Linked DNA regions of Arabidopsis thaliana. The protein of the gene in region 1 interacts with the protein of each later gene in a pairwise test. Each region holds a gene or a part of one and is shown on either strand. Other genes may lie near its edges.

The links.
Region 2: the proteins of AT2G28315 (region 1) and AT3G02420 interact in a protein complementation assay, tested with the Arabidopsis thaliana proteins (one large-scale study listed by BioGRID).
Region 3: the proteins of AT2G28315 (region 1) and AT2G01970 interact in a protein complementation assay, tested with the Arabidopsis thaliana proteins (one large-scale study listed by BioGRID).

The regions. Positions count from the first base shown.
Region 1 is NC_003071.7:12,085,065-12,092,266, reverse strand, and holds AT2G28315 (Nucleotide/sugar transporter family protein), read right to left. Parts: upstream 3,601-7,202; 5' UTR 3,372-3,600; coding exon 3,251-3,371; intron 3,135-3,250; coding exon 2,950-3,134; intron 2,870-2,949; coding exon 2,802-2,869; intron 2,714-2,801; coding exon 2,581-2,713; intron 2,498-2,580; coding exon 2,336-2,497; intron 2,142-2,335; coding exon 1,872-2,141; coding exon of another isoform or gene 1,863-1,871; exon of another isoform or gene 1,787-1,862; coding exon 1,697-1,786; 3' UTR 1,502-1,696; downstream 1-1,501. Other genes in the region: AT2G28310 (trimethylguanosine synthase (DUF707)), read right to left, coding at 4,379-4,582, 4,672-4,725, 4,816-4,882, 4,977-5,033, 5,124-5,237, 5,315-5,416, 5,498-5,613, 5,707-5,790 and 4 more. UniProt on the Arabidopsis thaliana protein: Nucleotide-sugar transporter that transports UDP-xylose and UMP in a strict counter-exchange mode.
Region 2 is NC_003074.8:494,184-502,288, reverse strand, and holds AT3G02420 (dihydroflavonol 4-reductase/flavanone protein), read left to right. Parts: upstream 1-3,324; 5' UTR 3,325-3,516; coding exon 3,517-3,693; exon of another isoform or gene 3,694-3,911; intron 3,912-4,055; coding exon 4,056-4,185; intron 4,186-4,270; coding exon 4,271-4,371; intron 4,372-4,671; coding exon 4,672-4,797; intron 4,798-4,890; coding exon 4,891-5,011; intron 5,012-5,095; coding exon 5,096-5,180; intron 5,181-5,289; coding exon 5,290-5,403; intron 5,404-5,535; coding exon 5,536-5,575; intron 5,576-5,957; coding exon 5,958-6,110; 3' UTR 6,111-6,405; downstream 6,406-8,105. Other genes in the region: TBL20 (TRICHOME BIREFRINGENCE-LIKE 20), read left to right, coding at 36-710, 823-1,304, 1,466-1,769; AT3G02430 (transmembrane protein, putative (DUF679)), read right to left, coding at 2,270-2,929; ICME-LIKE2 (alpha/beta-Hydrolases superfamily protein), read left to right, coding at 7,412-7,674, 7,911-7,987, 8,069-8,105.
Region 3 is NC_003071.7:450,158-458,324, reverse strand, and holds AT2G01970 (Endomembrane protein 70 protein family), read left to right. Parts: upstream 1-3,365; 5' UTR 3,366-3,505; coding exon 3,506-3,657; intron 3,658-3,882; coding exon 3,883-3,923; intron 3,924-4,023; coding exon 4,024-4,609; intron 4,610-4,696; coding exon 4,697-4,834; intron 4,835-4,916; coding exon 4,917-5,073; intron 5,074-5,150; coding exon 5,151-5,635; intron 5,636-5,908; coding exon 5,909-6,128; 3' UTR 6,129-6,467; downstream 6,468-8,167. Other genes in the region: SOS1 (sodium proton exchanger, putative (NHX7) (SOS1)), read right to left, coding at 1-21, 111-212, 295-452, 548-625, 706-797, 876-926, 1,030-1,255; TET14 (tetraspanin14), read right to left, coding at 6,523-6,807, 7,435-7,932.

The sequences.
Region 1 (7,202 bases):
ATAGTTCACATGTAAATTTTTGTATAAATCACATATTTAATAGATTTAGCGTGGTACATTGATCATATACAACATTGAAGTATTAAAGTAACTATACTAGAGTAATATTAATTTTTGTACTCTTTTCTCGGAAGTGAGCTTGTTGTGTCTTATTTATCAATGGTTAATGTGCAAATTGCATCAGACTCTTATTAGTATTCTTATCAAATTTTCCAAATATCTATCTTCTCCAAAGTGGATAAAATAGTATCTTGCTTTTAATTTTAAAATACTGATATTAAGATATTATGCTTGAAAACATATGGTTTTAATGGGAAAGTGGCACAATTTTAGATTATATGTCACTCAGTGGCTCAAAAACAAACAAATGAAAAGTCATATAGCTCATCTGGGTGGTTTGTACCCATCAAACACTACTTTGTTATAAACGCTTTACAAGATATGTTATTGGGTAGAAAATCAAAATAAACATATCACAACAAGAGGTAAGACAAAACTCTTGGGAGCTTAATCACATTCACATACAGAAACTACTTATACTAAAATGCAAGCCATAGTTTTACTTTATTTTGCCAACTCCTAAATTAACTAATTCAATATGAGTGGAGACTTAAAAAAAAAAATGGCTAAAGAAAGTGAAACCAACCAACAAAGACAAGGCATAGTCTCTGAAAACACATGGAGACAAAATAGTAATCTTGAAAAATAAGCATTAGCGTTGATCGATTGAGAAATATGTAGAAACGTATCACAACATCGTTGGACAAAAGGCCAAAACTGTAGTAATTTGTAGGAATAAGTCATCATCATATAATTTGTTTAAAATGATTTTTAGTTGGATTGTTGGTTGTTGCAAACAAGTTGGCCTATTGATGAAGATTGAAGACCATTTCTCATTTATTATTATTATTTTTTTTTTTTTGTCATTCGTAACTTGCAAGTCTCACAACCACTAGTTTTTAATTAAAAAAATTATTCGCTTTTAAGGGAAAGTTTCATTGCCAATTCTCTTTGTAGGTCCATAAGACCATAACATAAAAATGTTATACATATACTATTCATGGAAAGATAAAACAACAACGACAACGTAGCATGTGAACAGAGGATGAATTCTCGTAAACGTTAGACGTAACGCACATGTAATATTTAACAATATACATATCTATATGTATATATGTTATAAATTGCATTTAAATTTTTTATATGGAAAGGAAAAATAAGAGCATAAAGCATTTCAATTATTAGAAATTTCTGGTTCCTGTTATCCTAAAAACCGATAATAATTATATGCATATGTCAAATCGCCCATCATTTTTCTTCCATAAACTCAAAAACTTCATAATTTATCACATTTTAATCACCGAAAAGTCCAAAACCGTTTTGAAACTAATTGTATTTTAAACACTATTTAGTACTATACTATTTTATTTTATCTTCTTAATAGAAAACAATCATTTGATCATTTGAAGAACACTAACATAAACCAAAGAACACGTACGAGAGAAAATAATTTTATAATCCTTGTAAGATCCAAAAAGGAGGAAATGAAATAGGAAATGTAAATATAAAAAAGAAGAGAAAATGCCCATTGGCTATTTCAATTTTTTCTCAATTACAAAAACATTATCAATGAATGAACAAAAAAAAGGGACACAATTATAGAGTCGAAACATAAAGAAAGAGTTATTGTACTATTTCATACTGGAGAATGCTTGTCTAATTTCTTGGCTTCATGATGGTTCTCATTTTCTTGTCCCAAAAGCGGCGTCGTATCTCTATCTTTCCCCTGTCAAAAAAGGAATAAAACCAAAGTACTTAGAAACTTTCAACACTCATTATTTCTATCTTTTCTTTTTGTGTGGTTAACGTACAAGAAAAGTGGAATCGGAGGAGGCTTGTTTGGATTTAGAAGCAACTGAGCAGAAGTAGGAGTAGAGAAGCATCCCGAGGACAGCGATGAGTATTCCTGCGATATTACGAGGAGTGAAGGGATCGTGAAGGAGAGTGTAACCAAATGCGAGCACCAAACACGTTTTGAGATGTCCCAAGACTTGGTATGTCACCGGAGATGTCTTTCCAATCACTAAAAACGTACTGAAGTTAACCGAAACCGCTATCAAACACGACAACGTTATGAACCCCTGCATGATTCATCATTGTCAAATTTCACAAAATTTTAGTATCTATCTAGGGACGTTATGATACAATCATGGCTCAACATGGGCACGGCTCTAAGGGGCCATGCGAAAATGGGCTGGACCGATCCAGGACAATGATTCTAATTCTATTTTAACACCAATTGGGAATAAATGGAATTAACGATGTAAAAAATTACCACGACGATGGGAGAGTAATGGAAGGAGAAAACATTGAGGCTAGTGAGGTATTTGTCGACAAAAGGACCCGAGACGAAGAGTATAGCAGCTTGGAACGGGGCTGATTGGTATAGGAGTTGTGTTGATGTCACGTTCAGTCTCTTCTGGATAGTGTTTGTTAGCTTCACCACAACATTTTCATAGTCATATTAATTATACTATGTATTAGTTATTAAACATTAGTTTAATGAAACTTAAAGCATACAATTTGGCCGACGCAAGTTGTGGCAATGGCAAGGAGAGATAGAACAGAGCCAACAAAATTGAGCTGAAGATCTGTGATTGATGCTATACCAACCCCAACTAGCAGCAAAAACAATGAGAATTTTATCTTCTGGCTGCAAAACCAAAATATGTCATTCAAAAAAAAGTTATTTATGTAAACAATAAAAATTAAAATAATCTTATGTATCAAGTTTGGTTCACCTGAACTTCTTGTTGAGGAAGAGGGTTTCTAAAAGAACAGTGAATGGTATGATAGCAAGTTTGGTCATCTGCCATTAGTTATGGACAAACATCAAATTGGTGAATCATATAATTGTTACATGATCAAAAGTATGTCGAAGATATATACTTGATAGAAGCCGATGGAATTAAAGCCGAGGCTGAGATTGAGGAGACCAATGGAAATGCCATTGAGGAGGCCAAAGAGAACAACAGTTCTCATGTCTATTGGTTTATTCTCAAAGAAGTTTAGTTTATATGCCACATGAAGTGTGCAATATGTTACCATCAAATGCCAACTAGTAAGTGTTGTTGCTGTAACAAAACCATAGCAAAAAAGCGATCAATCCTAAGACGAATAATCGGGTTTTTGATAAAGATCTTACAAAATATATTCTCACAAAGCAAAAAAAAAAAGTACTAGTAATTACCAAAAGGGAAACCAAGATTGGTCATCAAAGCTTTGTTGCAAATGACAATGGAGACAGAAGATGCAACTGATAGAAACAATGCTCCAATCACACCCATTTGCATACTCTTCATCTCTCCCATTTTTTCTTCCTCTCTCTCCTCTCAAATCTTCAAATCTATCAAATGAAGAGAGAGAAAGAGAGATATATATTGATGTGAGAAAAAGAGAAGGATTGTGAATGTGATGAGTGATGAAATGCAAAGGTGATATAATGAGATTTTTATTATTTGTTTGTATAAAAATGGTTGGTGTCTAACACCAAACTTCTGTTCTTCCTAATTTCATGTTTTAATAATTATGACATTTACATAATTACGCACAAGATACATGAGAAAAACTATAATGATGTTGCTTAATATTTGTTTTTCCTCATAAGAGACTTCTACTAATGATATGATAGCAAATTCTTAACCATAAAAAAGACTCTGAAATGAAACAGCCAATGGAGGGAGACATTGTATGGTTTTCTATGGACAAACAATTGACTTGAACTAAAAGCAAAAAGGAAGGTGAAACTGAATTTCTCATACTTTTTCTATTGGGCAAAATATTGTAAAATAGAAACTAAAATGAAAATTGAAATTATTTGGATTTGGTGTAAAGCTTCACACTCACTCCAAAGTCCATACCAATACCCTTCTCTTCTCCTTAATTTCTCTACCATTTACGTTACCTATTGAGAGCAAATATAAAATAGCCAATTTATGAAATTGGGTGAAATAGATAAATCATGAAACTGGTTATAAGTCTTGTTTTCTTATTGTCTTTTCAGAAGTCAAAAAGATTATGTAATAACAACCACTTCTATTACACCTTTGTTTTCTAAAGTTTTTTTTTTTTACATGTTTCACTTCTCTCTTGTTTAGTGAAAGCAATTTCTTTTTAAAAACATCTAAGAATTTGAAATGGAGAAAGTAACAAACAACATAATAAAGCTCAATCAAAATGTATAAATCTTACACAATATCAATAAAAAGGGCTTCACACATGTCCTATGAAAACCTAATTTAGTGTAAAATATTTGATATACAAAAGTAAAAGTTTTTTTAATATATTAATTATATAGAAAGAAAAAAGAAAAACAAATCTAATCTTTCACCATCTTCCCAAGATACTCTTTATCAGCATCAGCCAATCGGTTCTGAAACATTGTCCATTCCATTTTGCATCTATCTCTCACTCCTTGCCATGGAGCTTTCCCATTCTCTGACTTTCCTTGACTTCCAAGTGAAGGTATCACTTTATGTATTATCCATTGCGAATCCACAACACCAATCTTCTCATGAGCAGGCTGCAAAAGCAAAACACACAAATTTTCATCATCAGTCAAGAGAATATTGTGTTATTAAGGTAAGCAAGGGGGGGGCAAAAACAACTTACTTCAACGCATCTTCTAAGCGCAAAGTCGAGACCCCATCCATGAACCAGATCATTCTGCATCAGAAACATAAACAAACTGATCAAAACAACAAGCATTATTTTGATGGACTAAGACTAGGACTATGTATCTACAGATCGACGAACCTGAATCATATGCCACACACATCGCCATGCTTCTCGAGAAAATACAGGCGCCATTATTTCAACAAACCTGTGAGAGGGAATTTTTTTCAGAAAACTCAGTACTGACAATGACTAAACACTCTTGAGTTGCTCTAAAGAGAACGTTTCAAAGAGAGACTTACGCGGCACATGGAGGTAAATGTGGGTCTTTACACCATCCTGGTTTCTCTTTTGTATCTCTGTTCAACAGTAAGTAACAACACATTTCTTAATTCAGAACCAAATTTGAAAGAAAGGCAAAGAAGAATGGTTAGAGAAGGAGATCTTACTTATGGACTTCCCGGTCACCTCTCCTCTTTGTCATTTCCCATGTGAGTCCATTGTTAGGCTCTAAGCCTGGTTGAGAAATCTCTAAACCATGCTTCTTAACTAACTCAATGTACCTGAAGTTTTAATAGAATTCCATCACAAAATGTAAAATATAAGATTGTTCTGCTACTTCAGACAAGTAATAACTTACTTATCCGCATTGAAATGCTCCACTCCAAGATCTTCATCCCATATAAATATGTACTCATAAGCTGACACAACATCAGGATGCAAAAACCTCTTCGCGTACCACCTGCCAAAACCAGTAGAGAATTTCGATAAAAACATACTCGACAAACATACTTAATAACCGGTAAATGACCAGATGACTAACCATTTTGTTTGCTTTCTTGTACTAATATGAATCGCGCTCTTCGACCACTCAAATTGGTCCCATTCAGTTGTCCGGCCATCATAATGGAAGAGCAAAATTTGGAAATCTTCAGAAAACTGAAGATATGACAAGAAAACAAAAAATCTGAGTGTATCCACAAAGAATATATAAAACAATACTTGCTAAAACACATGCTGATATTGCAGAACCTTCTTAACAACTCCATTAATATGGTTCCTCTGCTCAAATCCAACTGTAAATGTCACAAGATATTTTGGCTTCTTCTTCAAATCCTGCAAAGGTTATTGTTTTGACATTAACTATTCTAATGGCCTTCAGAGATAAAACCATATATATTGAGAAAGTAAATATAGAATGAGAAGTCAATACTTCATTAGGTTCTCCCCATAATCTACGCAAGTAAAAATCAGTTTTCGCCACAACGATTCCTGGAGGTAGTAGTTCTGCACCACGCGGGTTAGTTGGAACATATATCTGCAATCAAACATACAGAAACGATACATTTCATCTGAAATGAGGCACTATTCTAGAACATAATCGAAAAGCTAACGAAAGGGAACCGAACAAGAAGTTTATTATATACCTCAGGAAACTTTCTTGAACCGAAATCTTCAGGGGATTTGTCACCAGATATGGCTACATCAAGAGATGATATAAGGCGCGAGGGTAAGTTAATCTGCAGGAATACGAAACAAAATTCAACAGGTGCAAAAATGAAAGGGACACATAAAAGGACCTATGAAAAACAAAACTCATACCTTAAACGAAAGTGAAGGTAATGTGATACCAATAAAAGTCCCAAACACTATCCCCAAAATAGTAGTAATAATAACCTTTGCATTTTCATTCGTTCTTCGAGGAGCACCACTGCAAAACTAACCACTAAGTAGTAATCTTCATATTGGAAAAAAAACTCTTTTTTTTGTATTACAATCTATCAGTTAAGGAAATTATACCTGCGGTGCATTGTTCCCATTTAGTTAGAAATATCTCCAAACACTCTAGTCAACAAAATTGAGTCACCCCAAATTGTAAAAATTCAATCTTTTTTCTGCAGTAGCTTCAAAACGCAAACATAATACTTCAGAGAAGATATATATCACAGTGATAACTAATTGTAATACTGATAGCTAAAACAAGGCTACATCGAAAATCAAATTCAGCATAAAAGAGATGAAATCGCAAATAAATCTTGAAAATAAAAATGAGATTACTTACAGGCCTTACAGGATTATTAGATCCGGAGACGCCGGTGAAGAAAGCTGAGAGATTAGAGCTCTCAGAGGAGATTCTCCGATCTGTGAGAGCAGAGAGTGATAAAGAGTGTGACAGAGAGAAAGAGAGAGAGATTTGGTGGAGAGGCCTATTTGCGTCGAATTTTTGGAGGTTTTTTAAATTCTTAAAAGGCCCAAACTTTTTTGATTAATTAATCAAAAGATAAGCTCTATTATTAGGACATTACATACATTTGTTCCTGTCTTTTTTTTATTACACAACTCATTTATTACATTCTTTTGGAGCCAACAAGATTTGAAAATTAAAACTGGTTTTTCTTGTTTCTAAATCTCGTAATCAGTCAAACTTAACTACTTTCATTTGTGACAACAAAGGAAATAGAATCATTAAGAAATATGTGTTGAATAAGAAGAATAAGATTACTGTAAAGGAAACATATGGGCTAAGT
Region 2 (8,105 bases), on another chromosome or scaffold:
CAGAAATCCCAAAACTATTCTTTTTCTGTTTTTAAATGATACTTTCTCGGAAGAAGGAGATGGAACTTCCTGCGACAAAGTTACGAATAGGACTAGTGATATTTCCTCTTATTCTACTTACGATAGCTCCAATCCTTTATCTCTTTTTTGGTTATCCTCTCTATTATTCAACATCAACATACAAACATTTATCGAATTCATCATCGTCGTCGGCAATATCTTCTCCATCTAGGTATAACCATTCATCATCATCATCAGATAGTTATAAGACAGAAGATTCAGAACCATCGTCGTATGATAATGATTACGACGACACATATCATGATCCCAAGTCATCATCTTTGCATAACAATGATCGTCTATCCATCTCATCATCGAATGGTCATCATCAAGTAACTCCTAAGAAAGAGCACCGCCGGAAAAAGAGAAAACGTAAATGCGATATATTCTCCGGCGAGTGGATCCCAAACCCTAAAGCCCCGTACTACACAAACACGACATGCAGGGCGATACACGAACACCAAAACTGCATCAAGTATGGAAGACCTGATTTAGGTTTCATGAAATGGAGATGGAAACCTAAAGAATGTGATCTCCCTCTGTTTGATCCTTACGAGTTTCTGGAAATAGTTAGAGGAACAAGAATGGCGTTCGTTGGTGACTCCGTTAGCAGAAACCACGTTCAGTCTTTGATCTGCCTACTCTCTCGGGTACCAATTCTCTCAATGCTTATCCAACTTTTTTATTTATTTTATGACAATACTTACTCGTTTAATACATTACTTGATGCAAAAGTAACCTTGGTTTAGATATTAATTTCAGGTGGAACATCCTGAGGGTGACTCACAACAGGAGTTTAATTTCCAACGATGGAAATACAAAACGTACAACTTCACGATCGCCACATTTTGGACAACACATTTGGTTCGCGCTGAAGAAACGGAAACCGGTCCGACAGGTCCTAATTCATTCTACAATCTCTACCTCGACGAACCTGACCCTACTTGGGCTTCCCAAATCGGTGAGTTCGATTACATAATCATCTCATCTGGACAATGGTTTTTCCGACCACTCTTCCTTTTCGACAAACAAAAAAGGATAGGATGTTTGTATTGCTACATTCCCGGAGTCAGAAATGTCGGGGCACATTTCGCGTATAGAAGAGCATTGAGAACAACATTCAAGACAATTCTTGGATTAGAGAATTTTAAAGGAGAAGTGTTTCTGAGGACATTTGCTCCTTCACATTTCGAAGGTGGAGAATGGGACAAAGGTGGAAATTGCTTGAAAACGCGACCATATAGGTATACATTGTTCATCCGACATTTTCTAAAATATTAGTTTCTTCTAGAATACTTTAATATTATGAGTTTTGTGTTTTTTTTGTTGTTGTTTGAGTTTTCATTCGTCACATCCTAATAGAAACGTCTATATATTCCTTTGGGTTTCTTTTGTGTTTATATAGGAGCAATGAGACAGAGTTAGATGGTATGAATCTAGAGACACACAGCATTCAACTCGATGAATTTCGCATTGCAAACAGAGACAAAAACAGAAATGACGGATTAAATTTGAGATTACTAGATGTCACACAGATGATGTTGTTAAGACCAGATGGACATCCGAGCAGATTCGGACATAAACGAGAAGATAAAGTTATCTTGTATAATGATTGTGTACATTGGTGTTTGCCAGGTCCAATTGATTCATGGAACGATTTTTTACTAGACATGTTGAAAAATAGAGATTTAAAGAGATTAAAATACTAGTACGTAGAATCTAAATTTTCTCAGTTAAACCCTTTTTGTTCATTTGTAATTATATACGAGTATGTTTGGTTACGATGTGGTATTTAGAAAGATCTCTTCCCTTTTTGGCACGGTTTTCATAATCAGATATAAGCTTTTAAGTAATTTCAGATCTTAATTAACACATTGAATATTTAATGATATGGATCTAATATAAGTTTATGGTACAAATGAAGTAAAATAGTCAACGTTTTCCAAGTAACATGTCAACCGTACATACATTAATGTATTTTACATCAAAAAGTCCATGCAATGATTTTAGAATTCAAATAAATAAAGTCTATTTGAATTAGGAAAATTATATATATTTGACACAAAATTAAAATTTATTAGTTTAATAAAAAGAATAATGGTCATAACGTATATATACAAATTATACAACTTTACAAACAAGAAAACAAACGAAAATAGTCAACCCACCATGCAAACGCTACCGTTTCTAAATTGGTTTTAATTATAAATCATCGGCGATCTACGCTACCGGTAACAAGATATCCAATTCCGTGGCGTCTCGCCGGAAAAACCATAAACAAAAGGCTACACATAACCCCAACACCCACCGGAACAATGTCCAAGACATGTTTCGTCTCTGCCTCCGGCGACGGATAAAAGCAATCAGTTATATACTTGTCTCTCAACGCAACCGCTCCAAACACTAAAACCGACAACGTAGCGTGGATCCAATCAACGAACCGCATCCGATATTTGGCTAAATCGGGTAAACCTAACCCGGACGGGTCAGGATAGTCAACGACCCACATGCCTTTGAACGTTACGAAACCGAAGTAGATAGTTCCATCGTCGGCTTTAACGCTATCGGTAAAGGAGCTGACGAAGCAAGACGCGGCTAAGAGGAAAAGGAGAACGGCGGTTAGGAAACGCGTTGCGTGGTCGCAAACGCCGTTTGAAGTGAAAACCGGCGTTAGGAGTTGAAACGCGAGGAGTGTTCCCGTTGGGAGTAGGTTTGAGAGATTGGCTGCTGACGTCAGGGTGTTTGACATGGCTCGCTGAGACATTGACATCTGTCTCTTGAGCACCCGGGATTCTGACGGTGTCTGATCGGATAACTCGTCGAGCTCCGGAGCCGGAGTGTTTGCGTTTCTTAGCCGAAGGGCAGACATCTTTTTAGTTTTGATTCTTTTCAGGTTTCGATCGTTGGATTGATATTGGTGAAGATAATGATGATGATGTTTTTTTATAGATGCTACGATATAGAAACAGCTAATGATAACTTAGTTTACGCATAGTGGACTGTCTGTATTTAAGTAATCTCTCTGTTCAGTTAACTTGTACGATAAACAACATTATACACGACAAATAATACAAGACTTTTTAAAGCTTTTAACAAGATAGAACATAATGCTGAAAACAGTGATTGAGCTAGATATAACTGTGTCATATTCTGCTTGTTCTTCGCACGCTAGTCCTTCTCTGTTCTCACGATTTAGGGTTTCTTTCCCAATGCTCTGTTTTGTTCATTTTCTTTCTTTGGATAAATTGCATACAAACCCTCAAAGTTTCCAGTCTTTTGCAAAGTTGTAGTTATTTTTATATTAAATATCATAAACAACTGATTGCCAAAACGTCGTCGCTCTTGCAAAAGTCCACAGATACTAGTAGTAAGTAAAGTATAGGAAAAGTGGACCAAAGAAACAAAACCCATACAAAAAAAGTCGAATCCAAATCTCTCTCTCCGGCGATCTCATCCATGGCGGAAGGCGGCGAAGATTCCCAGCGGTTGAAGAAAATTGCGGCGGCTGCCTTCGACTACGAAAACGACGCTCGATGGGCCGATTACTGGTCCAATATCCTCATCCCTCCTCACATGGCTTCTCGTCCCGAGGTCGTCGACCATTTCAAGCGCAAATTCTACCAACGCTACATCGTACTTACTACTATCTTCCCTACTCTTGAATTTGCTTATCCATTTTCTTCATTACTTTGAGTTTCGAGTTTGACTTTGTGTTGTGTGCGCTACTGATTTGGGGATTTAGTGTGGACTTTGAATCTTAGGTTTTACAAGTGTGGTTGTTGATGTTCTTTCTGCTAAATTGCTTAGTCCTTGGGTCCGAATCTCCTCGTGATTAGGTTATTAAGCGGAGGGTAGGGCTTTTCATTGAATATTCGTTAGGTCCTGTTTATAATATGTGAAGCCTTCGTGTTGTTCATCTTTGCTCTTCCCTATGAAGATGTAATCTGGATTTGTTTCTAAATCTAGGGTGCTTGCCATGTCCTTCTTTTTTGCAGGATCCTGATCTTGTTGTGGAGCCTATGTCGACTTCATCTTCGTCTTCACAATCTGCCAGGCCAACTGCTACATCTGCATCTTCAACTGCATCTTCTAATGCAAATGAACAAGTTCGTTCACGGAACTCAGGTCAACTTTCTTTGTCTGATATATTCTTGAACTCAAATGAGCTTTTCTTATTACTACCAAAAACTTACCTAATTGTGTGCCTCAGGATCGGTTCCTCGAACCTCTGGGCCATCTGCTACGACTGGTGCAACCCCAAGTTCAATGCGCTGGGATGAGCAGACGATTCAGTTTTCAGTCAATGCTTGGGTAAGATAAAGTTTTTCAGTTGCAGTTTCTTCCTCTTATTGCACAAGTTTAATAAAAAGATCTAGCTCTTGTTAGCCCTGTGAGTTGGGATTGTTGTTGCAATCTGCTGTTCACTCCTTAACTTCACGGACAGTAATGAGATGGTGCATAGTGTATTGTCTGTCTTTATGTTCTCCTGTCTTGCTGAATCTTTGTTGTGTACTTAGACATGAACTAGATGTGACAAATGCTTTTTTGTCTGGAATGCTTCACGTAACTTATCTCCCGTTTCATGTCTCTAAATCCATTACATTTTTGCAGGTTTTTGTTATAGCTGTGCTGGCAGTGCTACCTCTAATACCAAAGAACCTCTCAAATAGGGCTTATCGTCTATCTTTCATGGGAACTGCATGCTCATCTCTATATTCCTTATACTCCTTATACGGGGTACGCCATGTGAATTTCATGTTTTCTTTCTCTCTAGTGATCATGCAATGCGAAATTTTTGTTACTTATGAATTGTAATTTTATAATCTGCAGAGGCCAAGGGCATGGAATATGCAAGGGCTGCAAGTTTATTTTCAATCAATTGTGGCAGCAAAGGATTTCATCTACTTCATCTACTGCCTTACATTCGTCACTTCACATCTCTGTCTCAAGTGTAAGAATTTATTGAAAACTCTTTTGTGAATGTCTTCAAATCACGTACATTCTTATGACTAGTCTCATTATCAATCTGTTGCAGTTGCTTTGATTCCCATCTTGTGCCGGGCACTTGAACAAGTAGCCAAGTTCTTGAGGCGTAACTTTGGTCGGTCCACTATATACAGGTAGGTGCATCGAGCTGATTAGCAGGTTTGAATGTAGTAGTAGGTTCCATGTGTGGATTCTTACTGATGCTTATGTTGTACATGTGTCTTGTTCTGTAATGGTTATCAGAAAGTACTTGGAAGACCCTTGTGTGTGGGTGGAGTCAAACACTACTACCCTCAACATCTTGTCATCGCAGGCTGAGATAGCCATTGGCTTCCTTCTGATTATCTCTCTGCTCTCGTAAGCTCTTTGAACCTGTTAGAAGCGATAATAGTTTATTTTCGCACTTAAGTTTATATTCTCACTAAGTTCCCAGCTTTGCATTAGCTGGTTTCACTTATCTGAACAAAATTGTCATTTTACTTACTGCAGATGGCAACGTAACATTATACAGACGTTCATGTACTGGCAGGTACGTATCATCTTTTGGTTGTAGTCATCAGTTCTTTGTGATGGCTCAACATTCCCAAGTAGAACCCCTGTTTTCTTTGTTTAATTTGATCCAAGTGAACATATAGGAAGAATCATTTCCGTAATAACACCTTTTTTGTTGCTTTGATGATCTTCTGTCACTGAAAGTGTTACATGGGCTAAGACCATCAGGATAGTAATGAGAACTGTGTTTTGTTTTTTTTTGGTTAAAAATCTTGTGTTCTTGTTATAAAATCTGTCAAGTTCAAAAACCTTTTCCTCATATTCTTCCTAAAACAAAGATCTACTAGGTTGTTTGCAGGATTGTTGGTTGGATCTTGAGAGTTGTTCTCATGAACTGAGTTTTGTTATTTTGGTGGCAGCTATTGAAGCTGATGTATCAAGCACCGGTAACAGCTGGTTACCACCAGAGCACGTGGAGCAGAATAGGGAGGACGGTGACTCCGATTATCCAACGTTACGCTCCTTTCTTGAATACTCCGGTCAGTGCCGTTCAGAGATGGTGGTTCAGGTGATAAAAAGAAACAAAATGCAGAGGTGACTTTTGAAACCCTTTTGAAAAACCAGAAGATTGATTAAATAGCTTTCAACAATCCATGTTAATTTCATATTCAGCGTAAAGTAGATTCTTCTTCTCTTTTAACGTTTTCCTTTGGCTATCGCTGAAATAAAAATCTCTTATTACTTTTGGTTTCTAGTTTAGTTATATGTGACTAATTGCCTTTCCAGTTTCCACCTTGCCATTTTCATTGGTGAGATACTTCAAAAGTTTCTAAAAAAATAATAATAATAATATTTTATTATGATTTAGTTTCTGTCCAATTATAAACACATACATATACATATAGTCTCTCAATCATTACTCTAAAATTTCTCTGCATAAAAACAATTCTCAATCTCTCTCTTATCTCTCTCATACTTTATTATTATTTTATATTTTTTAGTCAATAAAAAATTATGTGAGAAATTACCGATGAAAATGTTCTAAATTTTATAATATCTGATTCCATGAGTGATTGTAGAACTTTTGCTCAAAAATAAAAATCATCTAAAATATCATCTGGCCCTAGAAAATCGGTTTCATTGTGTAAAATTATTATATATTGAAAGGGTGATTATTTAAAGAAATTATAGTTGATTGGTTGTGAGTCGTTTACACATGTGGATGAGTGTTTTTGTTCGAAAAAAGGAAATCTAAAATAATGTACATTGGGGGGGGGAGAGGAGTATTATTTAGATAAACCAAATTTGGGAATAAGGTATCTTAATCATTGATTCATATTCCCTTCATTGGTGCGCGTGCCACCGCTTAAATCACCGAACACGTTCCCAAAGTCTAGTACCAGCAAGCAATACCACGTGGCGTCTATGCACAACTATACGAAATACGAGTGTCGAGACATCAAACCACCAATAGCGTATTGTGTTCGAACGCAATTCTAATCACAATTTAATATATGGAGCGGGACCCTTTAAACTGCTGTTTAATACACAAAATAAGAAAAAGAACTCTTCAAAGTACGTAATCACTACTAGATTAAAGAAACCAAATCAGAATACTGTAACTTATTCACATTAATAATACTCATTAGGAAGGAAAAAAATTGGTAGAGAAGAGGACCGGAATACGACGTCGTTTTGACATTCCTCTGTGAAAAAGAGAGAGAGCCGCACATGAGTGAAAGCTTTTCAAATATTTGAAAATTGAAACAAAAAAAACAAGAACCGATCAATTATAAAAGCACAAGACACGAATAGGAGGAGGAGGATACAAAATTCGAGATCCAATCTTTCTCCGACTACTTTCACGGCGGAGATGCAGTTGTCTCCGGAACGATGCCGTCCGATGTCTGAAAACAGAGAGGCTTGGTCAGCGAATTCCGAGGAAATGGAGCTGCTTCACGGCTCCAACAGATTATCTTCACCGGAACATGTTCGTAGAAGAGTCTCCGGGAATTCTTCTGAGGACGGTTCGCCTCGAATTTGCCGGCAGCAGTCGTTCGGTCGCGACATAGGCCATGCAGCTGCCGAGACGTATCTCATTACTCGACTTAGCTTCAACCTTCTTGGATATCTCGGGTAAATTTCATTCCTCTCATGGCATCGTTTATTTGTTTTTAGCCGAGACGTATCTCATGTCCTGTTTCTAGAGCTCACAATTAGTCTTCTCGATGAATTATTCTTACCACAGTTTTATGATAACTAAATGAGTTTTCCGGTAATTAATAATCTTAGGACATGTGATGATGTTTCAATTTTTTTGTCGGAATCTCTGTAAGGAAAGTTTTGTTTTATTGTTGTAAGTTTTTGTTCAGGGTAGGTTACCGGTGGATCACAAGATTACTTGCTCTTGCTTGTTATGCAATGCTCCTTATGCCTGGTTTCCTTCAAGGTTACCCCATCTTCTTTGCTCTGTCTTATTAACAAGCTGTTTTTTGTACACTAACAAAGCTTTTGCTATTTCCTTGTGCAGTTGCATATCTTTATTTTTTCTCATCTCAAGTCAGGAG
Region 3 (8,167 bases), about 12 Mb from region 1:
AACGCCAGACCAATGCCTACACTAAATAGACAGAAGAACACGTTGGACTGATAAGAACACAGCAGCAACTTGATATCACTAACAACAGATGAAAAAAGATCAAGACATACGCTCCAAGTGCGACTTTAAGCAGAAATTTGATTATAGAACTCCAGTCAGAGTTTTGCCCCATAGCCATCTTTAAGAATAACTGGAAAACAACAATCGCCGTCCTGGAATTGTTGTTAAAAATCATGAAGAGTGAGCATAAATGTCAAAACTAACCAAACCATGACAGAAGATAACGTCATTTACCCATCATTCATCAGGGATTCCCCTTCAATTATGGTGCTTAGCTTCTTACTAGCACCAAGCTCCTTTAGCAAAGCAACAACAGCAACCGGATCAGTAGCACTTAAAAGTCCCCCAAGCAACAAGGACGTTTTCCAGTCCCATTCATACGGAAACGTGACCTGCATATAGCAAGTATAGTTTCATAACATAATAATCGATTTGTCTTTCTTTGTTTTCAGGACAGCTACTTAATACCAACCAGGCTAATTCATACCTTCACAAGCGATCCAAGACAAGCTGTTGAAATAAGAACTCCAGGGACAGCAAGTAACACCATTTGTCCCAGACACCTCTAAAGAATCATGCAAGTATTCAGTACCTATTTCTCTTAACCTTTAAGCTTAACTAGGAATTAGAGCCAGAGGAATAAACCTTAATTTGGTGAACTTCCATTGAAAACGAACTCTCGAAAAGAAGAGCCGGAAGAAAAACAGCTAAAAGAAGTTCTGGATCGATCTCATTCCCTGCACAATAACATTGATTCTATAGTTCTTACAAAGCCAGCCATGGAAGAGAAGAAAAATTCGAAACTAAAAACTTACAGATACGAATTCCATGGCCGATCTTTCCAAGGTTATGTTTAGCTCCATATTCTGAAACACCAAACAACATGAATTAGCAATTAAGCATGATTACGTTGACTTCAAGGATTAAAACAGATGAAGAAATCAGAAATTCCATGGAACGAAATCGAACCGAGAGATCCAAGAGCAATTCCGATAACGAGAAGAGCGACAGTGTAAGGAACCCTAGTTCCACGAAGCAAGTGCCTAGAAGCAATACCGAGTACCAGAGACATTCCGACGAAGAGAACGGCGTCGACAGGGCTAGATTCTAGTTTGGAAGAAGAAGAAGAAGAAGACGAATCGGTCGCTTCCTCCAGAAATCTATACGCCATCGTCGCGTCGATTACAGTCGTCATTTTATTTGAATATATCTAAGAAGCAACAACACAGAGGAAGAAGAAGAATGCTCGTTCACTGAAAAAATAAATAGCTGAAAGAGAGTAAATACTTATAGAGCTATACATACACACGTGTATAGTACTGTAGTGTTAAATTAAAATTAAATTTTACTATTAATTTTGTTTATGATAACATTATCATATTTTTCTGCTATATATTTTTCACAATTTTCAGCCGACCAATTCTTCAATGTTTATATTTTTTCTGACCAAGAGTATATTAGAACCAGAATTAGATAAATTAATGGAAATATAATGATGACAAAAAAATAATATAAATATAATATATAGTTTGTTTTGGATTTTATAGATTGATGTCATATAGATGTGAATGTGACTATGGTATCTTCACAATGAAATTAGTGCTTAATTTGTGTACAAGAATTTATTGAAATTGAGTTTATTTGTAATAAGTATTCCAAAACCTGGTTTGGCCTTAAAAGGAAAAGAAATATTCGTAGTTGGTTTTTTGACATTTTGGGACATATTTTTCTTATGATTTAATTGATAAGACCTCTTACTGTTGTACTTTTTTGAATAAACAATTGCAAATGTAAATTGGCTATTTTAGAATTAGACGACTAGCCTACCAAAAATACATTTATAATGTGGATTTTGATATGTGTGTGAGTGTGTTTACTTCGTGGAGTTTGATGTGTTTAAGGTTTCGAAAATATTTGAGAATTTGGATTAGCCTGACTCTATTCGGCTGATCCAAAACATTAATCTGATACCTTTCAATTCTTCACGTTAAATTTATAATATTTTTTAAACTTTCAATTATGCTTAGCTGATGCACAACAACATTTTCAATTTCGCATATCAGAATAACACCAATTATCATTTTCATGCTACCCAGAAGCACCTACAAGGTATCAAGTGTGCATGTTAAAAGACTGTTTGGGTTAGTATTGATTAATCGACCAACCGTCGATCCTAATGAAATGCTCAAAGATAGAATCCAACATAAAGAATCTCTATTGGTATTCAAGATTTGCTTATAGAGTAGTGATTGTTAGTTAGTTAGTTTGTTATTCTTTGATTTTCCAATCAGCTTACGAAGATTTTTCAAGAGTAGAGATGCTAACAACATGCATAATAATTTGTCTAATGGTAAATTCTACAATAGGAAAAGAGTTTACATTGATTACTCTATCATTAGTAGTTCAGGGGATAGTAGATGTTTGTTTTGTTCTAAGGCTTATGTTTATGCTCTGGAAAACTGGTTCCAGGCGAGAAGATTCAGAGAGAACTCGTTGATGGATTACATATCATGGTCGCTGATGAGTGTATGATTCGCCACCACCATCAAAGAAGGTGCAAAATCAATAAGTATCAGAGCTGTTACAAAAATAAACTTTATAAATAAATAAAATTATTGTCTGTGTAATTAACATCTTAATTTTATAGTGTTCTTATTTATCTGGTTTGGTTGCAAAAAATTGAGTTTAGTTAAGATAATCAGGTATATAAATTACTACATCATTCATTTTATGTACAAAAAATTTGGTTTATATTCCAATTGATAATACTTTTTACTTGCTTTGCTTTAATCAATTTCATAAACGAGATACTATTGTGAAAAAAAAAAACGAGGCACTATTGATCTTTTTTCTTTTGACCACCTTTTTATTTGTATCTTCATCATCATGATTTTGTTAAAGAGTAAAAAGAACATTACTGATTGTTATAGTCACATGGAATGCAATAAAACTCCTATAAATAGTAGAAAGCACAAGAACGAGAGAATCACTCTACCAATAGAAAATTGCTACTTATTAAAAAAAAAACGACAATTGTAACAAAAAATATCGATTATAGAAAGTTTTATTTGCTTCAGTTTATATCACTTGCCTCTGCCATTCACAAGTTTCTTACGAAACGTATTAAATAATTTAAAATTTTGTGAATTAATACGAATTTTGTTTAGAAGATTTAAGAAAACAACCAAAAATAAAATATATAAAAATAATCATTTCAATTTCTAAAAAAAATATTAAAATGTCGCAGATTTTATTTTCTTACATAATGCTTTTTATTCGCAATATTTTTTCTTAAGCATTTAGTAGAAGAAAATTCGTTAAAAAGAGAGATAAAATAAATAAAAGTAATATAATCGTCCTTTTGCCATAAGCGTTGCTCTCAAAAATATAAAGCAAACTCAGATCTCACGATTTTCTTCTTCCTCTCACATTAACACACATCATCATGAGATTACCAACGACGCTGCTCCTCTTTATCGGAGCTCTCATCTTCTCCGGCGCCGGTACTGTCAGATCCGATGCCTCCGACCACCGTTACAAGGACGGTGACTCCGTTCCTCTCTACGCCAACAAGGTCGGCCCCTTTCACAATCCCAGGTAAATCCAATTCTCTAATCTCAGTTCCTTTGTCGGTAGCTTAGATCTGTGATTCTCTTTGATGAGTGATAAATTGATCGTTGCAAATTTCTGTAGAAGCTTGCGTTGGTATTGAATTTTTGTATCTGACCTTGAAAAAATTCGATTCGTGTTCTTAAAATGTGATAGATCTTCGATTGCATTGTTATATGACTGATTTTTACTTGTGTTTGATGATTGTTGCAGTGAGACGTATCGCTATTTCGATCTCCCCTTTTGTATTCCAGGTACGAGCACGCTCAATGTTGTCTCTGTTATGTGTGGTTTTTCACTTTTTTCGGATTTGTGTATTTTGGTGTCAATATGCATTTGTTTTGGTTTGTGTAGAGGGTGTGAAAGATAAGAAGGAAGCTCTTGGTGAGGTTTTGAATGGGGATAGGCTTGTTAGTGCTCCATACAAGCTTAACTTTAGAGATGAGAAAGACTCAGAGGTGTACTGTAAAAAGAAGCTTAGTAGAGAAGAAGTTGAACACTTTCGAAGAGCTGTTGAAAAAGATTATTACTTTCAGATGTATTATGATGATTTGCCTATTTGGGGATTCATTGGGAAGGTGGACAAAGAGAGCAAATCTGATCCTAGCGAGTTTAAATATTTTCTCTACAAACACATCCAGTTTGAGATTTTGTACAATAAGGATCGGGTGATTGAAATCAATGCTAGAATGGATCCTCATTCGCTTGTGGATCTTACTGAGGATAAGGAAGTCGATGCTGAGTTTATGTACACTGTGAAGTGGAAGGAAACTGAGACTTCTTTTGAGAAAAGAATGGATAAGTATGCTATGTCTTCTTCTCTTCCACATCACTTGGAAATCCACTGGTTCTCCATTATTAACTCCTGCGTCACTGTCCTTCTTTTGACTGGTTTCCTTGCAACCATCCTGATGCGGGTCCTCAAGAATGATTTCATGAAGTAAGTTTTGAATGCTAACTCTTTGTGCTTGACTCACCGATGCACACTTTTGTTTCCAACCATTAACTTTTCCCCTAACTTTCAAAGGTATGCTCAAGATGAGGAAGCTGCTGATGATCAAGAGGAAACCGGATGGAAATACATTCATGGAGATGTCTTCCGGTTCCCAAAGAACAAATCTCTCTTTGCTGCATCTCTTGGTAGCGGTACCCAGTTGTTCACTCTGTAAGTCTCTTTTCAGCCTCCTTCGTTTATCTTTAGTTATTCTTTGCCATTACTAACTGTAATATACCTCATATGTCATCAGGACCATCTTCATTTTCATGCTTTCACTTGTTGGAGTGTTCTATCCATACAACCGTGGAGCACTCTTCACTGCTTTGGTCGTTATCTATGCTCTCACATCTGGAATTGCCGGATACACTGCCTCCTCTTTCTACTGTCAACTCGAAGGAAAGAATTGGGTATGTAAACCCTTTCCCTTTACTCTTTTCAACTTAAAGTGATAAGCTTTTCATTTCTCACCGTTCTTCCTCTTCAGGTGAGAAATTTGCTGCTAACTGGAGGTCTCTTCTGTGGCCCACTATTTCTCACCTTCTGCTTCCTAAACACCGTTGCAATCGCATACAGTGCAACTGCCGCTCTTCCCTTTGGAACCATCATAGTGATCGTCCTCATATGGACACTAGTCACTTCGCCTTTACTTGTGTTGGGTGGTATTGCCGGTAAAAACAGCAAAGCTGAGTTCCAAGCTCCAGTCCGCACCACTAAGTATCCTCGGGAGATCCCGCCACTCCCATGGTACAGGAGTGCTGTACCGCAGATGGCCATGGCTGGATTTCTTCCTTTCAGTGCCATCTACATCGAGCTATATTACATCTTTGCCAGTGTTTGGGGCCATCGTATCTATACCATTTACAGCATCCTCTTCATCGTCTTCATCATCCTGTTGATCGTCACTGCTTTTATAACAGTTGCCCTTACTTACTTCCAACTCGCTGCTGAAGATCATGAATGGTGGTGGAGGTAAATTTTTCCACCCAAGCTGGTTTTTTAATTCGGTTTTTGGTATATGGAATATAGAAAACCAAATGATAATACCAAATACAAATAGCTTAGAATTGCTATGGTTTGTGTTTCGTTTTAGTATCAGTTTCAAACTGATTACTTACGTAGGGTTTCAGTTTGGCTTGATTAGGCACATCTACTAAATCCTTCCGTAGATTTTAAATTCGAATTTGAATTGGATTGGTGATAATAAAATTACATTGTTATAGTTATTAATATTCTTTGTTGCAGATCATTCCTATGTGGTGGATCGACTGGTCTGTTTATATATGCGTACTGCTTATACTACTACTACGCAAGATCAGACATGTCTGGTTTCATGCAAACATCCTTCTTCTTCGGGTACATGGCTTGCATTTGTTACGGTTTCTTCCTCATGCTTGGAACCGTTGGCTTCCGCGCTGCTCTCCTCTTCGTCCGCCACATTTACCGGTCGATTAAATGCGAGTAAAACTGTTGCTGCCAATCACCCTCCCCCTTACGATTTTTGGTAGAACAAAGAAGATGATAATCTGTTCTTAGGTAGATAAAGAAGAAGACTTCTTCGAAGCCAGAAACTGAATACCAAATCGCTCTGTGGTCACATTTTTTTTCCTTTTTGTTAAAATGTTTTGTGGCAGTTTGTTTTCTGTGATATGATTTATAGACGAAACTATGTTTGTTTAGGTGAAGTCTTTCTCTTCTCTACTACTTTAGAGAGTTATCTTCTTTTTTTGGTAATTAATTAAGATAACTTTGTAACCTTTTTTTTATTGATCTATATATATTCTAAAGACGAAAAAATAACAACTCTCTTGAACCAAATCGCTAATCTATTCGATCAAAATCATCTATGAATTTGTGATCTATCTAAACAAAGAGGTGAGGGAAGATAAGAAAACACCGAACTGCCACCATTTGCGCAGCCTTGGAGACTTAATGATCCTAACCTGACAAGTCATACAATCATAGTACAACACACTTAACTCGTGTCTCCACATATCGTAATAATCCTTTATGTCTGCATTGCCACCGTAACGATCATAGATCATTGCCGTTTCCAAAGGTGGTCCTTCACGATTTCTTGTAACCCACAATGTTGCATTGACCGTCTCTAGTTTGCAATTCCCTGGCCGATTGCAGCATCCAGTCTAACACAACAAACAACAAGAACAAAAGATTATGACTTTTTTAAAAATATATCAAGAAAAGATTTTCTCTTTCGTCATATCTTATTAGGATTTAGTGGTATTAAATCTTGCATATCACGGCTTCAAATATTTAAAACAAATTAATATATGTACTTTAAATAAACTAATTTTTCAAAATCTTAATTGGATAAATAAAAAGATTTTTTTGGAACAAAAACCAACAATACTTTTAAAAACTACTACGGGTGTATTCAAATTAGAATTTAAAGTGATTTGAATTTTGTTGAGTTTTTAAATGATTTTGATAATTTTAGGGAAGTCTATATAATTTTTGTAAAATCCATTCAAATCTCACCTTAAACCATATGATTTGGATTTCTATATTTTTAACTAAAGAAATCCTCTCGAATCCTCCAAAATTATTAAAATTCAAATCCACAAATTGTTTACAATAACAACGATATAAAAATCAAACTAAAATACTAAAAAAAAAAATAGGCATATCTAAATAAAATCTAAATCCCAACCAAAATTGTAACAAGTTGATACCTATATTAGATTTGATATATATCTAAGTAATAAATAATAATTATTCTAAAAAAAAAAGAGTAATTGATTCGTAAGTACCTTAACAGATGGTAACAATCTTCTATCATACGGTGGCAAGGCATAGCTGTTGACAAACCGCAAGTGAACTCTTTGCAAGCGTCCTTGACTTTGTTCTATCTTAACCACTTGATATTGTTCTGTTTTACGTTCTCCTTGTCCATTATTATATTCTCCCTTGAAACACATTGGTGTCGGAGAAAACCGCCGGCTTTCCATCTTGTACACACCGGAGTAAGCAAAACCTATGAAGAAGACAATAACTAGGAAGTAGCTGAGCCGTCGTGGTCGGAGAAACATACCGATGTTGCTAAGGAGGAACAAGGCGAGGAGAGAGACGCTGACGAGTGTTTGTACACGTGGTAACGTACTTTGGAAGTCGCGGTAGTAAACGTGGTCGTTACGCATGCAGAAGAGATACAAGGCGTGGCCGACAAGAGGAGCCGAGAGGAAGAAAGTGATGATCGGAAAGAAGATTCCGGCGACTAGATTCCATGGCTTATGGCTTTGTGACTTCATTATTGGAGAGCTTCAAGGACAGATTTGATTTTCGTATGATCAAATCTCCTATACGAGTATTTATCCCCACAAAAATATCCTTTTGTAGGAGTTACTTACGCAATCAAGTGTTGACATGTGGCAAATTCACCTCAAAACTAGGCATGGGCTAACAAACCGAACCGAATGTACCTAACCGAATCCGAAACAAAATTAACCGAACCGAACCGAAAAGTGAAAAATAACCGAATGGATA